2 linked regions of the Arabidopsis thaliana genome follow. The protein of the gene in region 2 interacts with the protein of the main gene of each other region in a pairwise test. Each region holds a gene or a part of one and is shown on either strand. Other genes may lie near its edges.

Region 1 (10,847 bases), on a different chromosome or scaffold from region 2:
ATTAATGAACAATTTATTAACTAAAGGCGGTTCTTGATTTGGTGATTGGAGTTATAGATGAGAATTATATGCTTAAAGCTAACCAAATAGTATCAGATTTATATTATTTTTGTTTGGGGGTCAATAGTAATCATGGATTTTGAAGAATCAATTAGGAAGAGCGGTGGTGAAATTAGCGCCGTATGAATTTTTTATAAATAAAAAATGTTTGTTTTTGAAAGAGGAGTAATAAATGATTAATTAATAAAGAAAATAAAGATGAAAGTGATGTGAACAAAGGAAGAGACGAGAGGAATCTTTTCTTCTTTAAAGTATTTTTATTGCATTTTGAAAAGTCATAGTCTTTTCTTGTTAAGTAAAGTTTGTTAAAGTTTTAACCTATCTCTAGAGGCTTGACAAAAACAAAGTTAATAGTGAGATTTGTTCAAATAAAGTAAATCTTTCAATAATTCTGTTGTTGAAACTTGTCAATGATAATTCTTGCATTACTTTTTTGATACACATTTCTAAGTGTCGGGTTAATTATAGTTAAAAAAAATTAACAACTTTCTTATTTTGGTTTATACGATTTCCCAAATATAATACGGTAGCTGTGGGATTTTTTCCCAAGTTTAGAGATGATGGAATGGATTATGATGTTTGAGTTCCAAAACTCCCAGCTTATACTACACTCTTAATTAGTTGAAGTTGCAAAATATATGGTACTCAAAAGATGATGTTTCATACGCTTTGGTCTAATTTCGAACCATCAAAATTTTACTTTACTCTTTTTAATCCTTTTCTAGTTTTTTTTTTTTTGTTTAATGTCCATATGATTTTGATTTCAAGTCGAATGTACATTAGAATATATAAATTCCTTGTGAATTCTATTAACGACACGGATGTTATTCTTTGTAGGCATCATTTGAAATCATCAATCTCTTTTGATTTTATATTAAGAATAATATAAAAACGATTGGAGAATCTTATTAAGCATACTTTATTATAGTATTGTCCAAATTATATACATACGCATCAAACAAAACTAGAGATAACGAGAAAAAAACACAGAAAAGATAATTGTCACGTCTACTTTTTTTCTTGTAGTCCCGTGATCCATATATAAAAACAATTATAAAGATACTTTAACTTTAAAGATAATTTGTTATCGAATTTAGTGGGACATTATATATTCTAGTGCCTGATAGAGTGATAGGACTCGAGATTTAATCTCGGCACTAAACTTCTTTAATACGATTTCATTAAGATAAACAAAGTTATCAAGCTAATACTACTATTCAAGAGGAAATGTGTATATTTTGACTTTCTAATACACTGAGTCATGTTTGTTCTAATTCGACATTTTGTCAAAAACCAGTGATGCATCGTTTTCAATTTATCAGTGTTTACGTCGGTAATAACTATAGTACATAACTATTTTGACCTAAACTCAGTTTTCTATTGCCGACAATTTTTTTATTTATCATCTTTTTTTCTTCTTCTCCAGATAATCAAATACTACATGAACTAAAAACTACATAAAAACAGTAATGTTTAAATTGATATTTTTCACATTATAGATGGACAATAGCAAGTGTAGCAACACGTACGGTTACCTGTTTATACCCAAAATATACTTCTGAAAATTATTGAGTCTTTAATAATTGGGATATATTCAAAATGTCATGCATGTTTTGTTGAATGGATCTCTTCAAAATTTTCTCGAAGGTCATATACACACGTTATCCATGATAGCCTTTAAAGCAACACACAACAGTAAAACGAGATGTGCATAGATTATTTACGTCATTCATATGTTACACATAATTAAGTTTGAATATCCGCCACGTGGATATGAAAGAAAAAAATTCGTAATTAAATTTGATGGTTAGCTTGCTAAATTGTTTGAAGGAATTTTTTGGCACGTGATGGAAAATCTAGCCTGAAACATTATAGTAGTAGTGATAAACTATTGATTAGTCAATCAAGTGTGTAAGCCACTTGATATTAGTGAGAGCGAGTTTTCATAGTATTTTTTAAAAACACCACCGATAATGACCACATAATCATTGAGTTTGGGAGACTCACAAGTTGGTGTCAAGTTGATAATGACGCGATATTCTGAATTTTTTTTTTGTATTATCGTAGATCGTAGTATTACTTTTGTCTTTAGTTAATACATAATGGCCATTACATTATATAATTTAGTCTAAATCAGTTATGGTTTAATTTGTTCCGAGTTTCTTTTTGCCACAAAATTAGTTAACACAAATGTCCACTAAAATAACTATAGTCCGCCGAATTGGGAGCATTATTGACCTGTGTAACTCAGTCAAAATCGGCCTAAAAAGTGTGACAATATTTTTTTTTTAAAAGTATGCTAAGAAATTAAAAGCCGAAAAATAAAAATGGAAGAAATATGAATTTAATTAAGAAAAAGTGGGGACTGGGGAGAGTAAGCACATGGGGTGGGAGAAAAATCTTTCTGGCTTTACTTTTGGGAATTACGCAAAACTCTCTTCATGTGCCATTCTTTACTTTTTCCCCCACATAATTCCATTTTTTTTTTCAAGATTTGCAATCTCATCGAAATTAATGGCTAACAACACATGATGAATATGATTGATAAACAAACATTTTCATGAAAATTTGGTGCATATGAGCTAAAATGTTGAAGACAAAAAAATATATACATAATTGTGGCTGAAACGATGGGTAGATGTAGGGTGTGAGCAAGAGAGACACATGCATGATGCACCCAATATAGAATCTTATAAAACATTGGCTAGATGAGATGGACAAAGTCCATTTTTACTCTTTGTAGTCCAAATAAACCGAATCCGGTTACAAATCCTAGTATTTAGAGTTCATAATATGGTTGTTGTAGATGCATTAAGAATATGATATATTTGTAAATTAGCTAAAGGTTTATGTACATTTTAGATTTCCTTTTTAAAATTGTTAAATAAAGCAATGACATGGTTGTAACTATTAAAATTTGTCAATGGTAAAAAGAAGTTCAAAAGTGTTACTTTTCTTAACACGCGTTGATAGTGTTATCCTTACAGCACTTTTTGTTTTGTTTGAATGAGCTAGTTATTATACTTTATAAGTAGTATAATCTCGAATAAAGAATGTGAAATTTTGAAGAGGAAAAAAAAAGGTTGGCTACTTGGGTCATGGTTGGTTTAGATTAACGAGCCCTCTCCCTGCTCTTCCTGTCATTCTCTCTTCCCCATACCCAATAGAAACTTGTGTGTTGTAACTCCGATCTCACCAACTCAAATAAATAAGTAATCATGTTCTTGTTGTTTCTAATTTATGACTTGATGTGTAAGTGTCGCATATCTTTTAACCTTGTCCGGTTTATATATTTCTTTTGCTTTCTTTTACGAAGGAAATGGTCTTAAGTAATAAAAATATGCTTTTATCTGCCTAACAGAAAAGCCTGCTTTCACGTCAAAAAGAAATCAAGAAAAAGTTGCTTTTTCCAAAAAGAGCTAAAAAAAAAACAGAGAGAGGTACACCGGAAAAACAACAACAGAAAGAGTTACATTTAATTTGGCCCGATTAAAGCCCATTTATGCTCTTACAGGCTCTCTCGGACCCATTGACATTTGTTCTATTATGTTTAGATGAAACTCGGCGTTTTTTTTTTTTTTTTTACTCCGTTATTTATTTGCCTTTGGGACTGGTCTGGTGAGTCCAGTGGTCGTTTCTCGTGTACTCGAGTCTCATCGGAAAGTCTTCGACTGAGTTCGTCGCTTCCATCTTTTTATGGCTTAATCTCCTTTTTTTGGTCAGGTGGAAGATAAAAAAACCTTTGGAACTGCTGTCTCAAAATCTTGAAGACAATGTGTCATTGGAACCGACTGGAATTAGCCTGCGACTACTGAAATATGAGACTCTTATGTAGAAAGTTTTAATGTCTATGTCAAGAGAGACAAAGTTTGGTCAGTTGTACTTTGAGGACAGTGATTTGACTGACACTGGACAATGTAACGACAAGAGATCAACATTAACAAACAAAATAAAATTACTTGATTGCTAATGTAGGACAATAACTGCTTGTCTTCACAGGGTTAAGCGAAGGAAGAGAGAGCTTCTCTGTTGTATCAAAATGGCTAATATATTGCAATAACAGGTTTGAAACAAATAAACACAATTGAATTAATAATAAGCTCTCTACCTCCCCCTCTTTCTCTCTTCAAGGTAACTATTGATTGATTAGAGGCTAATAATCTCTTACATGATTCAATCTATATAATATAAAGTCTCTCGTTTATCACACAATCTCAAAAGTGGAGTTTAAAATCATCAGACTGAGTTGGGTCATCGTCATCAATGCCGAGTCACTATCCTCCCACACAGAACATTTCTGCACATACAAAATAAACACAAAGGTGAAATCAGTACCCTTCATAAGATTGTAGATGCAGAGTTTGTAAAGATTTGTATATATACTCACGATAAACAGCCGTGATTCGACTTTTGCTTCTTCTTCTTCTTAGTCTTCTCCTTTTGTTTAACCAGAGGTTTGATCACTTCCTTTATCGCAGAATCAAAAACTGCTTTCACATTCTGCAATATATAAACTTCATCGCTTTGTTAATCCGAAGAAAAGAGTAACATAAAGAAGCTGCCTCATATACCTGTTGAGTTTTTGAACTACACTCAATGTAATACGTCGCACCAATTAGCTTACGCAACTCCTCTCCCTATCAGATAGAAATGTTCATTTAGTTAATACCATCAAGCCTTATAGTGGAATTATATGAAATCTAAAGTAAAAAGGCTCTTTAAGACTAAACCTGTGCAGTAGTTACAGGGGATAGTCCAGGATGATCAGCCAAATAATGCTTATCTTCACGAAGATCTACACCAGTGTTGTAAGAATCATTAGCTATGAATTGTAACTAAACGGTTAAGAGGAATCTGTTGGTAAATGCTCATCGGTTATTCTTACCTAATTTGGTACCAACAAGGACAAGGGGAACTCCTGGAGCAAAGTGTTGGAGTTCAGGGATCCACTGACTCAATAAGAACAGTCATATAACATTAGAAATGACTCATTCTGACACTATAAGAGTCTTATCGTTTTCAACAATTAGAGAAAAGGATCATTTATTCAATCAGACCTTTTTAAAAACATTCTCGTAGCTAGCTCGGCTGACTAATGAGAAAGACAAGACGAAAACATCTGCTCCCCTGTAACTTAAAGGCCTTAATCTGTTATAGTCTTCTTGCCCTGCAAACAAAGGATATACATATGTAACCTCATATGAGACAAAGCTATTCAATGGATCTCATTTATCAACCAAATGAAAGAACTAGACCAATAAGAATGTTATAAACCACTATAGGATTCAAGACTCAGAAAGAGTGTTCATACCAGCAGTGTCCCAAAGCCCCAAATTGACAGTGGTGCCTTCAACAACAACATTTGCACTAAAGTTGTCAAAAACTGTTGGTATGTAGTCCTGTTACAAACAATTCATCAAATCAATACACAGTTTCAAACTTTCAATCATCAAATCAAGCATATATACATATAATAATAATAATAATAGCAATGAAGAAAAAGTCTGACGAATCCAGACTCCAGAGGATGTTAAATGAAAAAAGATAACATAAAGCTGGACTATACACAAAAGCTGCAAAAACCCAGATGCGCCACACATACTTATGAAAAGTAAAAAAAATCAAAATCTCCAAAAATGGATCTTATATCATGCACAGTTCCTAGGAAAAAGGAGCTAACTTTGACATACCCAGATAGATTCTAAGAACCTTTATGGCAATAAGAAGCTGAAATTTAGTAGACCCAGATACTGAAATTGATTAAAATTTTGTAAAATTTGAGCTAAATCTGATAAATCCAGATGAGATTCCTGATCAAAATTCAAGAGAGAAAGAGAGGTCTTTTTAAAGAGAACTTACAGTGGGGAATTTATTGCTGGTGTAGCAGATGAGCATACAGGTTTTACCAACAGCACCATCACCAACAGTCACACACTTGATGAACTTTGAAGCACTTGAAGCCATTTTGATCTCAAAACAAACATACAAAGCAAATACCAAAAGGAAGCAAAAGAAATAGAGAGAGAGAGAGAGATAAATGAAGTGAGATTACTTAAAAAGAGGAGTAAAAGATAAATAAACCCTCTTTAGAGCATAGAAGAAGGTAGGGTTTGTTGCATAAATTTATGGCTTTTTTTTCTGTTCCTTTTTTACTTTTTTCTGTTTGTTTTTTCAATATTTCCAATTAGATAAACGAAATTGTTTATTGGTATTTGGTGGCTTGTTTTTGGTTTGAACTTGAAGATAGAGAAAGAGCGGTGATGACTCACATGATCCATCGTCCAAGCTTTCCTTTTCCAAATTCTTGTAGTTCATTTATTACTCCAACGAGCAAATTTGCATTGGAATTTGTTAACCAAATCTTGGTGGTTCAATCTTGTTTTTTTTTTTTTAAGTGTTTATTACACTTGTATTGGATTGTAAGAAAATGAAATAATGTGTATTACATACAAGTATGGCGTTACGAATCGAATTATAAGAGAAGGTAGATATTCGTCAAGTTAATAATAGTGTCACGTTGAGCCACACAGTGACAAGTGAAGATGGATATACCATATTTGTATACATTAACATGTACTGTCGAATACATGTTTTGCTATTTTTGTTTTTCTCTCGAGACTTACATATCATATAATGTATATAGCATAACTTACAAGCTAGGGTTACAAAATATATAAAATAATAGAATATCATAGCAACAAAAATTTATAGCAAAATCACTAAGACCAACCTTTCAACATTACTTATATCACAATTCACAAGTGTAAAACTGATAATTCTAAAATTGTAATTTTAGTTTAGGATATTCATTTATTATATTAGGATATATGGATTTTTTTATGTGGACCTACTTTTAAAAAAACTTATCATCTAATTTAATTTACTCAAGATATTTAAAATTGCCAACAAGAGTTTCGTTGGCAACAACCAGCAATAAAAATTCTCAATATTCACAAAGCAACTTTTAATACAGTTATTAAAAATTGAATACTCTTACCAAATAGTTCCTTTTTGTTTGTTTATGGATATAATTGCAGACTCATGGTTTAGAAAGTAAAAGTGTTTTTGTCATGTGTTTAAATAATCATTTATAGGTGGATGTTGGAGCCAAACTGTGTGAACATCTACCAAAAGCAGAAGATAAATGATTTTATTTTATAAGGTAAGTTAATTATTGGAGTAATACCTACGACTATATCGACGGCGACGCAACCACCATAAATATGAAAATGCAAAAGTATTGTTAACTAGAGAGGTCTTCAAAAGGACGACCACGGGAACTTATCGCTCTCTGGTCCAATATTTTAGTATTTTGCAAGTTATTTCCACCAAAAGCTCCAAAATACAAGTACAAATTAAAGTAGCTGATTAATAATACAATACAATGACAAAAGTATGGCCTAAACCAGATAAATATAGAGACTAGTAAGAACGAAAATCGCAAAAGGAGACTAGTAATCACATTAAACTAAATCAATATATGTGTATGTGTGTACAAGTGAATCCATAACTTTTGGTCTCTAAGGAAGACATGTAACAGGAGCATATGTCGTGCTGGTGTAAGGATAGCGTCATTGAAAAGAAACAAGAACAAACGATAAATATATATTTCCACAACAGTTGATGCGCGTAAAAGCAAAACGTGATTAACAGTGGAAATTATCCATAAAGTGAAAAAGACTTGAAGATCACAAATCCGAGTTTTGGCAGTAAGAAATATGGTTATTGGATTTGAAGTTGGGTTAATATTGAAAAAGTAAAAGTTTTTTCGAATATATCATATGAACTCAACAAACAAATGCAACGGGCCCGACAACTCAATATATGGGCCACATCCGAAACGAGCCGACCCACGTAATGGAAGTCCCTTGCCAGGTCACGTGTTTTCTCCCTCTTTGTTCCTATCGGTCCCTTCTTTTATTGTTTTCTTTAATTTGCTGTTTCTTTTGGTCTTATGAATTTTGAACCATTCTTATGAATCTGAAGGTGAATCGATTCTTCGGTACAGTTTTCTCTCTAGAACATGTAAATCGTTATGTAGTTCCTTAATAAATTGAGAGAAACGAAAAAATGTATTTGAATGTTTTGATCAATGATCGTCATTCGTTTATGGCTTCCAATAGAAAGGTTTGAAGTTTGAATTGGGAAAAGTGTTGTTGGTTCATTACATACTACCCCAAACGATTGATAGTTTCTTCTCTTTACTCGGCTTTAACGGTAACTATATCTTTGGAAAACAGAAAAGTTTTTGAGTGGAATTTTAAAAATGAGTATAGATTATAAAAATAAAGAAATCATGTCAAGCAACCATGATTAACTAAATCATTACTTCCACATATGCTAAACAGCTAATTTACATAAAATTATATTATATTAGCCACAACAAGTTCAATATCCCCTCAAAAAAGAAACAAAATATTGCTTCTCTTTCAAGAAACATAAAATTTGGTTGATAAATAAATTAATTAAACTGGGAAAATAATAAAATTAATTCAAAGTTGATTATATAAACAGAATGATTAAATAAGAAAACGCGACAGACTCCAAAAACGATGTAAACCAAACCAGTCAACCATTTTGACAGCCTTTTCCCCGCCGCCAGAAACGCAAACGCGTTTCTCACACGCGCCCACTAACTTTCAATGATCTCATTACGCGGCGTCAACGCAGACAACGACGTCGGCGAAATCGCCGGAGCTTTACCTGAGTAAACCGGGACAGAAGCGAATCGGGTCGAGAAGCTTCGTAATCCACCTAGTCCGACGTATTCATCCTCCTCGTCGTCGTCATCGAAGTTCAAAGAGTAACTCAAAGGATCGTATTGAAACTTCTCGCTTGCGTCCCAATCGCGGCCGCGTCGTGGATCGCGATTGAATCGACGAATGAAAGTCTTCCACCGTGGACCAGCAACGATTTCTGACCACTCTCGGATCTTCAAGGATGCTCGGATCCACCAACGTGGCTCGTCGCCGTGGTCGCCGCTGTGATTACTGTCATCGACGGTTCGAATTCGTCCCCAGGAGGAGTAACCAACGGCGGTGGAGCTTCTTGATCGGCGGAAGCTGGGGAAACAACAGCAACGTTGATCGTACCGGGTATCAGGATCTCGGGTTGGGTCCGACTGCGAAAGTTCCATGGGCCGAAACTCAGAGAAGTTTTTTCTTGGGTCAAAAGACTCGTGATGATAATATAACTTGATTCAAGTTTTAGCTGTAAAGGATTATGATTGGTCCTATTTATTATATGCACACTTGACACTTGTAATATAAATTAAGAAATTGTTATTTTTTCTATGTTATTATATGCACACTTGACACTTTTACGAATCATGGCTGTAAATATTAAAACCTTAGAAACTCAATTATCGATCAACACGATTGAGAATCATAAAAAGTGTTAAACAATTTCTTAGGCTGGTGAAAACGAGTCTTAGAAAAAATAAATATCTTGAGCTAGAATCCGTTATAAGATAGTTACTTTCCTAACAATGTTTTTAGGAATACACTTGATAAAACAAAATTGATATTTATTATAAAAACTACTATTCACTAAGGGAACGAGTTGAACAAATGTGATCCGGCGGGTACAACAAACTAACATTTCGGATCATAGTACGAGGGGTACAAAGATTGAGCAGATGTCACTGTCTTTGGCATTATCACAATCTCACCATTAGGACTGACACCAGCGATGCAATACCTAATTTCTCAAATATCATCATCTTAGACCATTCTTGTTGCTCAATATGATCTTCCATAATCCACATCTCTGCACTAGCTTTGGTGTAACGTATGCATCCTAATTTTCCTTGGTAGTTTACCAAAGTCAATTCATCGAAACTCACTTCACTGAGCTGCTGATTCATCTGCAGAGTTATGGGCATCTGAATACGATCAAAGCTTTCGTGTCTAACGTCGAACCTCACTAGCTCATAGAATTCGGGATCATCCCAGCTTTCTACATGTGCTATGTAATAGATAAACTCTTTGATACATAAACCACTACTCCTAGCTTCTGGAGAGTGATTCCAAATGCCTTGGATGTCAAGGCTCCTCCATTGCTGCTTCATTGGACCTCCCACTAATGTGAAAACTTGTTTCTCAACTGGATCATATCCGAACAATCCATCACACGAGTTGCTCCATCTATCGTGTTTTACCTCCGGTAATAAAATCGTTTTCCTATTGGTATGTTTATAGATCGAGCTTGACCAACAACAGAAGAGTCCTCGAAAATTATTGATACTTAAAATCCCAACTTCGCCCATGGTTTAATGTATAATTACTGTCTTTGTCTGGGTATATGAATGATATATCATTAGTAGGATAAGTAGAGGGCGAGAATAATGACCGAGTCATGATCAAGAGGGTGATACGAGATGACCACAGCTTCGATACACATTGGAACCTCACAAGTGACTTAACAGGGAGTCTCGAGAGTATATCGGTTATTACATCGAAAGGGATATGTATACCGTTTGAATTTTCTCTCTCGGAGATTTCGTTCTGACGTTGTTGTCGTCGTTTTGGAGATCGTGAGGTCTTCTTCTCTTGGCGTCCTCTCTTCATGGTGTCAGTTTTCTATTTCATTAAACTTGAACGAAGAAAAACACATATATATTTTTGGTTTTTGACATTTTTTGGGGGTTTATGACATTTGTTTTTTTGGATATTTTCTATATATTGGCAATACAAAAGAGTTTATAAGCTAAGCAGCCCAGTTTCATGTCCCATTAGGTTTTAGATCTCAAGTCTTAACCGACCTACATTTAAAGGGAAAACATTAAG
Region 2 (11,287 bases):
TGTCTCCACAAATTTGATTGGATCAATTCTATGTACACGAGGGGCTATGGATGTGATGAGCAGACAGCACAGTGGTGGACACATCTTTAACATGGATGGTGCTGGCTCTGGAGGTTCAAGTACTCCTCTCACTGCCGTGTAAGAACTCAAATCATTCGTTACTAGTCTCTAATGAATTAGAACACATTTCTGAGTCTGTGAGCTTTCGCAGATATGGTTCAACAAAATGTGGACTTAGGCAGTTTCATGGGTCTATAGTGAAAGAAAGCCAAAAAACAAACGTTGGCCTTCACACTGCATCCCCTGGCATGGTTCTGACAGAACTTCTTCTCAGGTATGCATACACTTTGTCACTAAGGCCTAGAACAGAATGCTCCGGAGTTTTATTGAAGCAACCATTTATTTGGCAGTGGTTCGAGCATTAAAAACAAGCAGATGTTTAACATAATCTGTGAGCTTCCTGAGACAGTAGCTAGAACTTTGGTACCACGAATGCGAGTTGTGAAAGGTTCGGGAAAAGCCGTCAATTACCTAACTCCTCCTCGGATATTGTTAGCTATTGTCACTTCCTGGCTAAGGAGAGGCCGATGGTTTGATGACCAAGTAAGTGTTACACTTGAGTTCTAGTTCAAGTTTTTTGACAAATCCTTCACTTGGTTAAGCCTGAGCTGACGCAAAGATGTGTACGTGTTTGCAGGGACGGGCGTTATATGCAGCAGAAGCAGATAGACTAAGGAACTGGGCAGAGAACAGGACGAGGTTGTCGTTAACAGACGCGATGGAGATGTATACAGAGAATACTTGGGTCTCTGTTTTCTCTCTTTCTGTTGTTTGCGCTTTCATCATCTTACAAAGCACAACACCTAGCTCTTTTCCAGGCACATAACAAACATCTTCCTCGGATGTGTTTTAAGAAAATTGTAAACGTACATGTTATGTATAAAAAACATATATATAACAGAACCGATTTGTTCATGTAAACACTTCTTATAGTTGTAGAATGTGTCGTTGTTGAAAACAATGAAAAAATAGATTGTAATAAACTTTTATCAGATTGTAGTATTTTCTAGTTTTCACTAGTTGGGCCTTTAAAGGCCCATTAAGCGGAGTTAAAAAAACACAGCTCCAATAACATTGCATCAATAAAAAAAGTGGAGGGCCATCAGATAGGAGCGAAAGACTGTGCTACTGAATAGTAATCATGGAGATCATTTGAACTATGCATTATTAATCATCACTTGACCCTTTTTTCCAAATAAACAAAAACAAACCAAAGATTGTTTGGCCTCATAGAGAAGATTAGATTTTATCAACAAGGATTAATTCAGACATATGCTTGTCTATTTTTTTGATTAAATCATTGGCCAAAAAAATCGATTAGAAGAAAGATTGAAAAACAAAAGTCAAAAAGTAGGACTCAGAATATGGGTGGTGATATAACAGAATGGTCGGCAAATAGGCTTTTTACGGCCGTTTTTACGACGAACGAGACCTTAAATATCAATCGTCACTGTCCGGAAGAAAAAAAAAAACAATTTTGTAATACGACAATAACAAAAGTAAGGGTTGGAGAAAGTATAAGGATTTGATTACGAGAGCAATTTGTAGCTTGAGAGATGATAAGCTTCTCTCTCTCTTTGGGTTTTTATACAGAAAATAAATATGGAGCGCTAGGGTTTTCTCACTCGTTAAGATTCTGACACGTGTCCACTGTTACATCTGACGGTGCTCAACATCACACACCGCTACGGACGTTGTTGGGCTTATCATAGTTTGGGCTTTACCAGGGCTTACTATCAAATTAGAAATCGTTCATGTAGCCGAGTTTGGATTTAAGTTAAAAACTGGATTTGGGTTAAACCGTTAAAACCGGCCGAAACTTTGGATTCACAAAATTTAAAATCATAATCTTTTAAGTAAATATGGTTTTGAGTAGTCAAAATTAGTTATACAAACTCTTAATGCAAACTCTATTTTCCAAAGTTACATTTCTATTTTTATTTATCAATTCTATGATAAAAAAACGAAAAAAAAAACGAAAATTTCAACAAAAAAAAGTCCAAAGTGTTATAAATAAATGTTTTATTTTATGGTGGATATAAATACTATAAATAATAAAGAAAATATTACATCCGCAAAGATCAGAATATTAAATAATAAAGAGAAAAAAGTGAGATTTATCTTTAGACGATTATTATCTGATATTTTTGTATTAAAATAAAAATACCTCATCTAATTATTAGTAATTTTAATATATTTTGTATATAAATAATTACGAGTTTAATTCCACAAATTATTAATTTATGAAGTATTTTAAAATCACAAATAATTAGTTGGGGTATTTTTATTCTAATATAAAAATAACGGATAATAATCGTCCAATTAAAATTATTTTGGATTTGTTTTTGGATTTTTCCAAAAATTAAAAGAAAATCGTATCTTTGCTACTCAATTTTTTTCTTATCGGAGCAAACGACTTCATGTGCACACACACAAAAAGAAAAAATTATGATGACATTTCTTTTTTAGTTTACATATTCTGCATAGTACTCAAACATATTACTAATTAACTGTTAATTAAGTAGTCAAATGTGGCTGCTGTTTGTAGTTTGTTTTTATTTTCTCAATATGATTTTTATACAATAAAATGAATTAGTAACTGAATTTTTTATTTTATTTTATAGTAAATGATTTGTTTTTATCAAAACAAAATTATTGAGAATTGATGTGGGGGTAACATGTTGTTTTACTTCTCTGTCCAAGAAACAAAACTGGAAGGAAGATAATAGTTAATTGCTAATTGTTTCATTCTTTTGCCTAAATATACACACTTATATGGCTTCTTCAATTGTATCATTTTAGTTGTTCACATGTCTTTTGATTCATCTTCAATGCCTATCTTTAGGGCTCCTAAAACCATTTAAGTTCTCAAGCTTCTCCAAATATGAGAGTTTCTTTGGCGTCATTCTCGGAGATTTTGGAGGTTTCTCTGACTGCCCTTTTGAACTATTGTCACTCCAACCAATAAAATCAAGCAATGTCGTCTTTGATGAGTTTTGTGATTCAAGCTTCTCTATTTCCTCTCCTGAGTAGTTCGAAGATCCAGCAGACGCTGAGTCCGTTTCCGTTGCTATTTTCCCACCATCTGATGTTTCTTCACCTGTGCATTGCTTCCGGGCTAAAGAATCCGCATAAAGTACATCGTCGATTCTCGACATTTCCGTGTACCCTAAGCTCTCTAATATCCTTGAGTAGCTCTCCAAAACCGCATGTCCCACATCCTATAGTTAGAACACATAAAGTGACAAATGAACCACCATATAATATACAACCAAAGTACGGTTAGTTAGTGTTGTTAATCTTATTTAAAATTTACTAAAAAATGTTATATCAAAAATTTATATATGATTCATGACCACCAATATTTTCAGAATCTTTCCTAGATGATGATTTGTCCGATCATATCGGAATAACAAAATAAAGCAATAACATTTGAGCATTACCTTGTTATACTGAATTTTGGAAATGTCAAGGGAAGATTGGGGAAGACCAGGGAACTTTTGTTTAAGCAAGACCAAGATCGTCTCGGCTCTCTCTTCGAACAACTCTCGTTTCTCCAAGCTCACAGCTGATCCCCAAGAAGATTTGTTGTCTTTTAGATGAAGTTTTCTTTTCCATATAACGATTGAGGCCTCAATCCTATTCTTCACATCCAACACTTTGTGCTCTGTAGATAAGTCAAGTGTTGACAAGAACTGCTCTGGATCAAACCACTCTTCTGTTATGCTCTTGTATAACGAATCCCCAAGGCTTACTCTTCCATTCTGAAAATAATCTAAGTCTTCTTAATAACCATTATTGATTTGCTTAAAATAGTATATGATATTTTAAAATAAATGCAAGCAAATCATCCAAACTATATACCGGTTTTAAGACAAAAAAGGAAGATCACCTTTGGAAGAGACTCGATATAGCTATCAGGGATAGCCATTTCTGACAGAACTTGCGCGTTAATAGCCATGGCGGCTTTTTGGACTTGTGAGACTGAATCTTTTTGAAAATGAAGCATTCTTCGGGCTGATTCGGACAAGCCATTAGGAGGGACTTTAACCGGAGGAAGCCACCACTTGTCCTTTGTCCTCTCATTCCGTGCTTGTTTCCCTTCTTCTGAATCTCTCGATACATACCAAAACTCATTGTGTCCTCTAAAATTGTCCAATGTATCCTAACATGTTTCAATATCGTTCTATCAAAGTTATTGCATAACATACATGTATATAATATATAAGGGACACACTTACAATGAGCATGGCGTCGAGTTTGCGAAGGGCAGGGATGTTCATGAGGAGATCACCTCTTTGTCTTGTCACCATAATCTAGACATAGTCATTGAATCAGAATATTATCTCTGATGTTGATGAATATGAAATTGATAGTTATAAGTTTCAAGAAATGGAACCTCGGTGCAGACTCCTTCCTTACTAATCTGTTGAGATGGAACAAACTCGACGATGTGATCAGTCACGGACAACAACCAATCGATCTCTTTCTTCCACCTCGCTCGTCTATCCGGTGCCATCGGCTGCAACTTTGTCTGTTCCCCGAATATTGACGCTACACATAAAAATTAAACCAAACCATAGATTGATTCTATGTAACTTGTGGAGGAAGAAAACTAAAAAAAAAAAAACTATTAGAGTTACTTTTTTACCGGCTAGATTCGTGATGGCATTTGATAGTGCCAAAGCAGAAGATACACCTTTACCACCACCAGACATATCTTCTCCAAGAAGTAATTTCGTGAATCTATCTTTCATCATCTCCGTCTCTACAATGTTTAAACCCGCAAAATTGTAAGCTTTTTGATATATATCTCTAGAGTTCTTAGTTCTTAAACGAACAGAAATAATGAAACTTCTTCTTTAATCACCGGATTGTTGCTTGTCCTGTCTACGGGAAATCAGACGAGAAGTCATCGGGCGGCTAGTCTCCACGGGACTTCCACCGAGGCTGTCTTGAGTTTGACTCTCCGGCATGGTTGTTTCCGCGAGATGAGGTTGTTGTTGTTCTTTTCCCGGTGAGGAATCAAACATTCTATCAAGATTGAATGAACTCGTGATGCTTATTCCTCGTTCCAACGATGGAACCATGGTACCAAAACCTTTCTTTTGTTTTCTTCTCTACAAATACAAACTTTTTACTTTTAATATTCCCAAGAACGAGAGAGAATTTAATTGTACGGAGAATCAAAGTAAATTGTTCGACAGATTATTATAGTATGCAACTACAAATTTTTCTAAATCTGTGGAAGCCTTAATTATGACAAATCAAGGAAACGTGGGATGCACGAAAATGAGGAAGAATCGAGAAAGTGTCACAGATTTAAGGATTTGAAATTTGTTCTATACCAAAATAGTAAATCAATAGATAGGCAGAAACCTTATTTAAGTTTTTTTTTTTTCTCTTTGGTGTTCAAAGGTAAATCAGTGGTTTGTGCTTCCGTAAAGCCCGGGAGAGACGATAAACTTGGCAACTATTTCAACAATAAACAAAGACTAGGCCATTCATAAAACAAAACTATGTTAGGTTCTTATAGTTATCCACCAACAAAATTTTCGCAGAAATAACTTTTAAAGAAAATATTATTGCCAATGTATTTCTAATTTTCTCAAAATTTGTCTGAATGAGTGAAATGAATTTGGATGCTTTTAATTACATGGCATGGACTAATTGTTATATAAATTTCGATGAATTTGGATGAGCTTTGAAAGAGTGAATTTTTATATTAAAAAAAGGTGAACTATATTTCTCTTTATGCTTTTTTTTTATTACCTGTGTAAATAAATAATTGCAAACAATGAAATATTTTTATATAAGTATCATAATCTAATTCTTCTTATGGAAAACTTCAGGTTGTGGGACTCGTTGTATTTTGCTTTTCATTCTTCGAGGAGTACGTACGCCACTTGCTGCTCATTCTTTGAGAGCTCTTTATTTTTAGTCGGTACACACTGACTTCGAAGACAAGTCCGATTCTTCTTCTTTTCAGCCGATCCTTCTTCTTTTTATTAGTAGTTCTATTTATTTTACATCGTCATTTCGGCCTTATCCTCTTTCGAATATCTTTTCTGTATATGATTCATCGTGTGTTTAATGATATACTATATTTATGGACGGTTCTTGATGCATTATATATAAGTATTTATCAAATTTATGTTCATATTTTAAATTATATTTTTATACATCGATTAAGATTTTTATCGAAAATATTTCATTTTCCTTCTTAAATTTATCGATTCTCCTTTTTTGGAGTTTATATATTTCATAAAAGGTCGCTGAATGTTCTTACCTGGAAGACTTGTTCTCATATTTGTTCAACCTTGTTTTTGTTTTTATTTCCTCACGAATCATGTAATATGTTTTCGTTCTGTGCGCTCCGAATCTGTTTTGTTCTATTAAACAACTTTTCTTGATATTGATTTGTCAAATCAAACGGACCGAAAAAACCACCCGAATATTTAGAACCCATAGGAAACGTGGACAATATATAAACATAATAATTAGAAAATTAAAATATCATTTTTCATACTTTTGATCTTTTTATTGTCTCCCCTTTCATACTTTTGACTTCTTCTTTTTTTTTTTGGTCTCCTCTCATACTTTTGACTTTGTGTGCAATACCAATAGTAGAATAACTTATGTAAAAGACTCAACTAACCCATTTTCCCTTCTTTAAAATTTTTACACTTTATTAGTGACCCTAACCTTTAGAGTCCATAGTCATCTTTCTAAATATTTGTAATCGACAAAATATATATTTTTGTTGATAGTGCTATGTATTTATTAAAATAAAGTATGGTTCCGCACTATTTACGGGTCGAAATTATTTGGCAGCAAAAGTAGACGATGTTTAGGTATATAAAACTAGATAAAGTAATCTAGGGACATACACATATCGATATAAAATAATGCGTTTTGCTATAATTAGAAGAACATTAAGATTACAAACGAAGGCAAATTAAAGAGTGAAGAGAGAGCACTTGACTAAGACAAGAATGGCCGTGAAGCTCATTTACCTCTTTCTCTTCTTATACATTGCTCTTCTAATTTCAGGTATATATAAATTGTATGATCCATGGAATATATTACTTTATCTCCGGTTAAGATCTTTTTCTTTTCTTTTGGAAAAATACCAAATCTTTTGGATATGATGATGCAGAAGGGATGGCTACTACTCCAGGCCGGACTATGAGCACAACCGCGGGAAGACGGGATGGGAAGAGTGGTCGGACGGAATGGCTGTACGTAGCCGGAGAATGTGCGAAATTACCACGTTGCAACAAATATTGCGTCTCTAATGGGTTTCATCTTGGTGGGTTTTGTGAGAAATTGTCTCCTCAAGCTTCTTATCTTTCTTGTGTCTGTAAATATACTTAGGTTTCATCAAACTCACCTATTTCCTCTTTCTTGGTGTTGGGAGAGATAATAAAGTGTTGTTCAGAATTCTAGACTTGACTTGTTGGTCCATTCTACTTATAATGGTTTGGACTTGTAAGCCTTGTATATCTTTGTTTGTTTCATAAAAAAAAGAAGCACTATCCTTTAAAGTTTTATCTCAAAATTAATAAGAAACTTTGAATTTGTTGTACAGATGTGATAATGACTTGTGACTTACTTATCTTGTTGATTCAATTTTCATATTATCTTGTTGTGCATGATCATCCGATCAAATACTTAGTGGCGGATTTAGAAATGTTTTTTAGGGGAAACATATCATAGTAGATCTTTTAAATATTTTTGGTTATAAATATTATTAATTTTATGAAAGAAGAAGAACGTTAGTATAGTAGTACTGTGATATTGCCATTGGATTTCCAATATATGATTAGTTGAATTATTTGAATTTTTCGGATCCCAGCTTATGATATCTTGAATTATTCGAATTCGTCAAAAGAATTCTGATGAGAATGTGTTCACTAACCCCACCTACTCAAGAATTCTCCGTTTTACACATTCACAATATATTATAAAATCTTATACAAATATGCTTATTTTAATATATCAATGATTATAATGAATTAAATTCAAACAGAATTAGTGAGCTTCCTTTTGAAATTTTACGTTAAAAATATAATACAGTATCTTTTAAACAAAAAAAAAACACTGCAAAATGAAAATTTCAGTAAAACAGATTTTACTAAACTAATCTCTAAAAACCACTATCAAAACATGTGCCATAAATTGATCCTCTCGTCTAGTTAATTTCACAAAAAATTGTGAACGTTACTTTTACCATCTTTATATTCATTACATACAAAAAAAATTTGTCTTAACTCAAACATACTTTATTCCAGAATGATACTAAAATTCCGTAATGCAAACATTTTTTTATTCTCAATTGGTCAATGAACAAGCATCAAATAAGGAAAAACAGACGCCAAGGATTGTGTCACACACTAACACATCTCTAAATAGCAAATTAAAACTTGAACCATCGGATGTCCCGAGTCAACCTCCCCACTATGCCATCCAAATCAAACCATGTGTCTTCTTCACATGCACCTCATCTCCTATACATTTTCTCAATTCTCTTATATATACTTAAATCCTTCAAACTCAACTAATTAACAAACTAATCACATTACTAATCAACAGAAAGAAGAGGCCTAAGACATGACAAGCTTCGCGGTCGTTGCAAGACTCATTACAAGAGCTCCTAGAGTTCGTGCTTCCGTCCCGACAAGACTCGTCCATGTAATCTCTTTTACTTTTCGTATGAATTTATCATACATATTTATTTAATATTTGTAACAAATTTTAGTTATCCTTCATTTTTTTTTAAATGATTTAAGGGGACTACTTCTACGAGGAAAGACTCCGTCTGTGACAAAGCCACAGAGGCTCAACAAAAGGTATCCTAGCTATTTTCCTAAAGTTTAAAAGAAGAAGAAGAAGAACTGTGGCCTTAATGTTTTAAACATCATTTTTTGCAATGTGCATTTGCGTTTACATGTCAAATTTGTGTTTGAATATTTTAAGTATAGTTTGTATTTGACTTTTACATTTATAACTACCACATAGATTTTGTTTTAATTTTTGAAATAGTTAGTTATAATATATAGATTGTAAATTTGTAACAAACAATATTAAAAGAAAAAATCTGTTTTGTTTCTTTATTTGTAATTGTCTTTACATTTGGTTTTATGCTTCCGTTATCCAAACTAAACATGATTGGTGTAGGTGGCCAAGAAGGCAGACGAAGGGGCACAGACGATCTCCGATGCGGCGGGTAACTTGAAGGATAAGGCAAAGAACACTGCAGAGGAGGCCTGGGATAAGGTGAAGGACACTACGGAGAAGATCAAAGATACGGTCACCGGAAAAACTGAGGAAACTAAGGAGTCTATTAAAGCCACAGCCAAGACCGTTGAGAGAAGCATGAACACCAAGAACCTCAAATAATAACACGCTAAATTTGACTATATTAAATAAGATGTTATTTACCTAATGAGTTTGTTTTAATCTGTTTTACACTTCTGGTTTGTATCGAGAAAACATATTGCATTATTAGGTAAGAATAAATCGGGTTATGATATGATCATATAGAAACTCATGTGTTTGTTTTAATAAAAATAATTTGATATATTTGTAAATCTTGATTGAAAACTTTTGTGAGTGGTCAACGAGTTATTGGTCCAGTCATAAATCTTCCAGATGGAGATGATTAGTTCGAGGCATGTTAGAAGGGATCTCTTCTCCAAAAGAGATGAATTCACTGTCTCTCAGAAATGTAAAGGTCGAGATATTAAAAAAAAAAATGATCGGTTCCTATTCGGTTATACAGTCGGTTAGCCGACGAATCTATCAATAACCGAAAGCGATCCGAAACTCAACTCAAACCGAACTCAAACCGATTAGTTTCTCAGCTTCAATTCAATCTCAATTTCTTATCTAAAACAGGCCAATTTTTGTCTTTTCTTGTAGAGAATCTGAGTAGTAAATCAAGCGGCTTTAGCAATCACATGTCATGGCTTCTTCTCTATCTTTGAATCCTTCGCCTCTCGCTCCAAGATTCTTACAAACCCTAACCCAATTCCCCAATTCTCCATTCCTCTCTCCATGCTCTGTTTTGAAGTTAAAAAACGCATCTTTACTCAACTTGAGAACTCGAATTGCTCCTCTTCAACCACAACGACTTCGGTCCAAAACCCTTGTTTTGTCTGCTCAGTCCAGTTTCTTGAAAGGTTTGTTCTTTACCCTCACTTTGTTCTTTTGATAGCTATGTCTATGAAATTGAGCAAAAGGGTCATTGATTGATGAAGAAATTGTTGCAACAGAGTTTAGTAATAATGTTTGTGTGATTTTGTTGAACAGTTCTTAGAACTGCGTGGAATATTGGGAAAGATGGAATTGAAGCTGGAACCAATCTTGTACCTGTGAGCTCTCTTTAGTCTTGTCTTCACTAATCAAACTCTACTCTAAATGGTTTTAGTCATACTTGGTTATGTTTACCAGTATACTTTTTTGTTATAAGGTTTCTGTGCCTAGACCAGTAGCGAGAATCTCTGTGACAATTGCAGCATTGGCGGTTTCGTTGTTTGTTGTCAAGTCGTTTCTATCGACAGCTTTCTTTGTATTGGTATGTTGTGTTGTGTGTGTCCCCTTTCTTTTTTCTAGGATTTTTTTTTAGGTGTTTGCAAAGCTAATTCTCTGTGAGTGTTGCAGGGTACAATGGGATTTGCATATTTCTTATTCATAGCTTTAAACAAAGATGAAGCTCCTAAACTAAGAGGAGATGATAATAGCTCTGGTTCTAAGTCAATGGATGATCCACTTGAAGAAGCAAAGAAAATCATGGACAAGTACAAGTAAGCGTTGTCTTCTTTACATGTAACTTAAGCTTAAGATTTTGCTCATGAGACAGAACTCCAATGTATACAGATACAATACTTAGGAATGTTATATGTTCTTTAAGAAATTGTTACCTCTAATACCAAAACTTTATTAGTTTCGACATTGGAATATATTGGGGGAAACGGTTGTAGCATTAGCAATCATTGAAAATTTTGCTGCAACTAGCAAGTCCTCTCTCAGGATTTTGAATGATCATTGAGACTAATTTGATAGGAGTGAAACATTTTCAGATGTGGTTTAAGTCGTAGCGTAGTTTCTCATTTCTCATTGCTTAATCTCTCTTTTACCTTTTTTTCTTCTGGTTCTTTTATCCTGCAATGTTCTCTCTTATCGGATGCTTCACATGTTGTTAACAAGTCCTATGTATATTCTT

Evidence for each region.
Region 1: the proteins of ROPGEF9 (region 2) and RAC10 interact in a two-hybrid assay, tested with the Arabidopsis thaliana proteins (one study listed by BioGRID).

What each region holds. Positions count from the first base shown.
Region 1 is NC_003076.8:25,232,413-25,243,259, reverse strand, and holds RAC10 (RAC-like 10), read right to left. Parts: upstream 6,298-10,847; 5' UTR 6,025-6,297; coding exon 5,920-6,024; intron 5,460-5,919; coding exon 5,372-5,459; intron 5,228-5,371; coding exon 5,118-5,227; intron 5,010-5,117; coding exon 4,946-5,009; intron 4,856-4,945; coding exon 4,791-4,855; intron 4,698-4,790; coding exon 4,632-4,697; coding exon of another isoform or gene 4,561-4,631; coding exon 4,448-4,560; intron 4,358-4,447; coding exon 4,321-4,357; 3' UTR 3,998-4,320; downstream 1-3,997. Other genes in the region: AT5G62865 (uncharacterized protein), read right to left, coding at 8,693-9,196; AT5G62860 (F-box associated ubiquitination effector family protein), read right to left, coding at 9,719-10,219, 10,473-10,628. UniProt on the Arabidopsis thaliana protein: Involved in local disassembly of cortical microtubules when associated with ICR5 and KIN13A.
Region 2 is NC_003075.7:7,674,016-7,685,302, reverse strand, and holds ROPGEF9 (RHO guanyl-nucleotide exchange factor 9), read right to left. Parts: upstream 5,354-11,287; 5' UTR 5,151-5,353; coding exon 4,931-5,150; intron 4,829-4,930; coding exon 4,712-4,828; intron 4,615-4,711; coding exon 4,460-4,614; intron 4,377-4,459; coding exon 4,302-4,376; intron 4,226-4,301; coding exon 3,953-4,225; intron 3,825-3,952; coding exon 3,504-3,824; intron 3,282-3,503; coding exon 2,889-3,281; 3' UTR 2,681-2,888; downstream 1-2,680. Other genes in the region: NYC1 (NAD(P)-binding Rossmann-fold superfamily protein), read left to right, coding at 1-138, 212-334, 411-603, 698-886; EDA21 (embryo sac development arrest 21), read left to right, coding at 7,056-7,113, 7,220-7,437; AT4G13230 (Late embryogenesis abundant protein (LEA) family protein), read left to right, coding at 8,674-8,754, 8,853-8,912, 9,241-9,462; AT4G13220 (uncharacterized protein), read left to right, coding at 10,028-10,244, 10,375-10,436, 10,535-10,639, 10,726-10,872. UniProt on the Arabidopsis thaliana protein: Guanine-nucleotide exchange factor (GEF) that acts as an activator of Rop (Rho of plants) GTPases by promoting the exchange of GDP for GTP.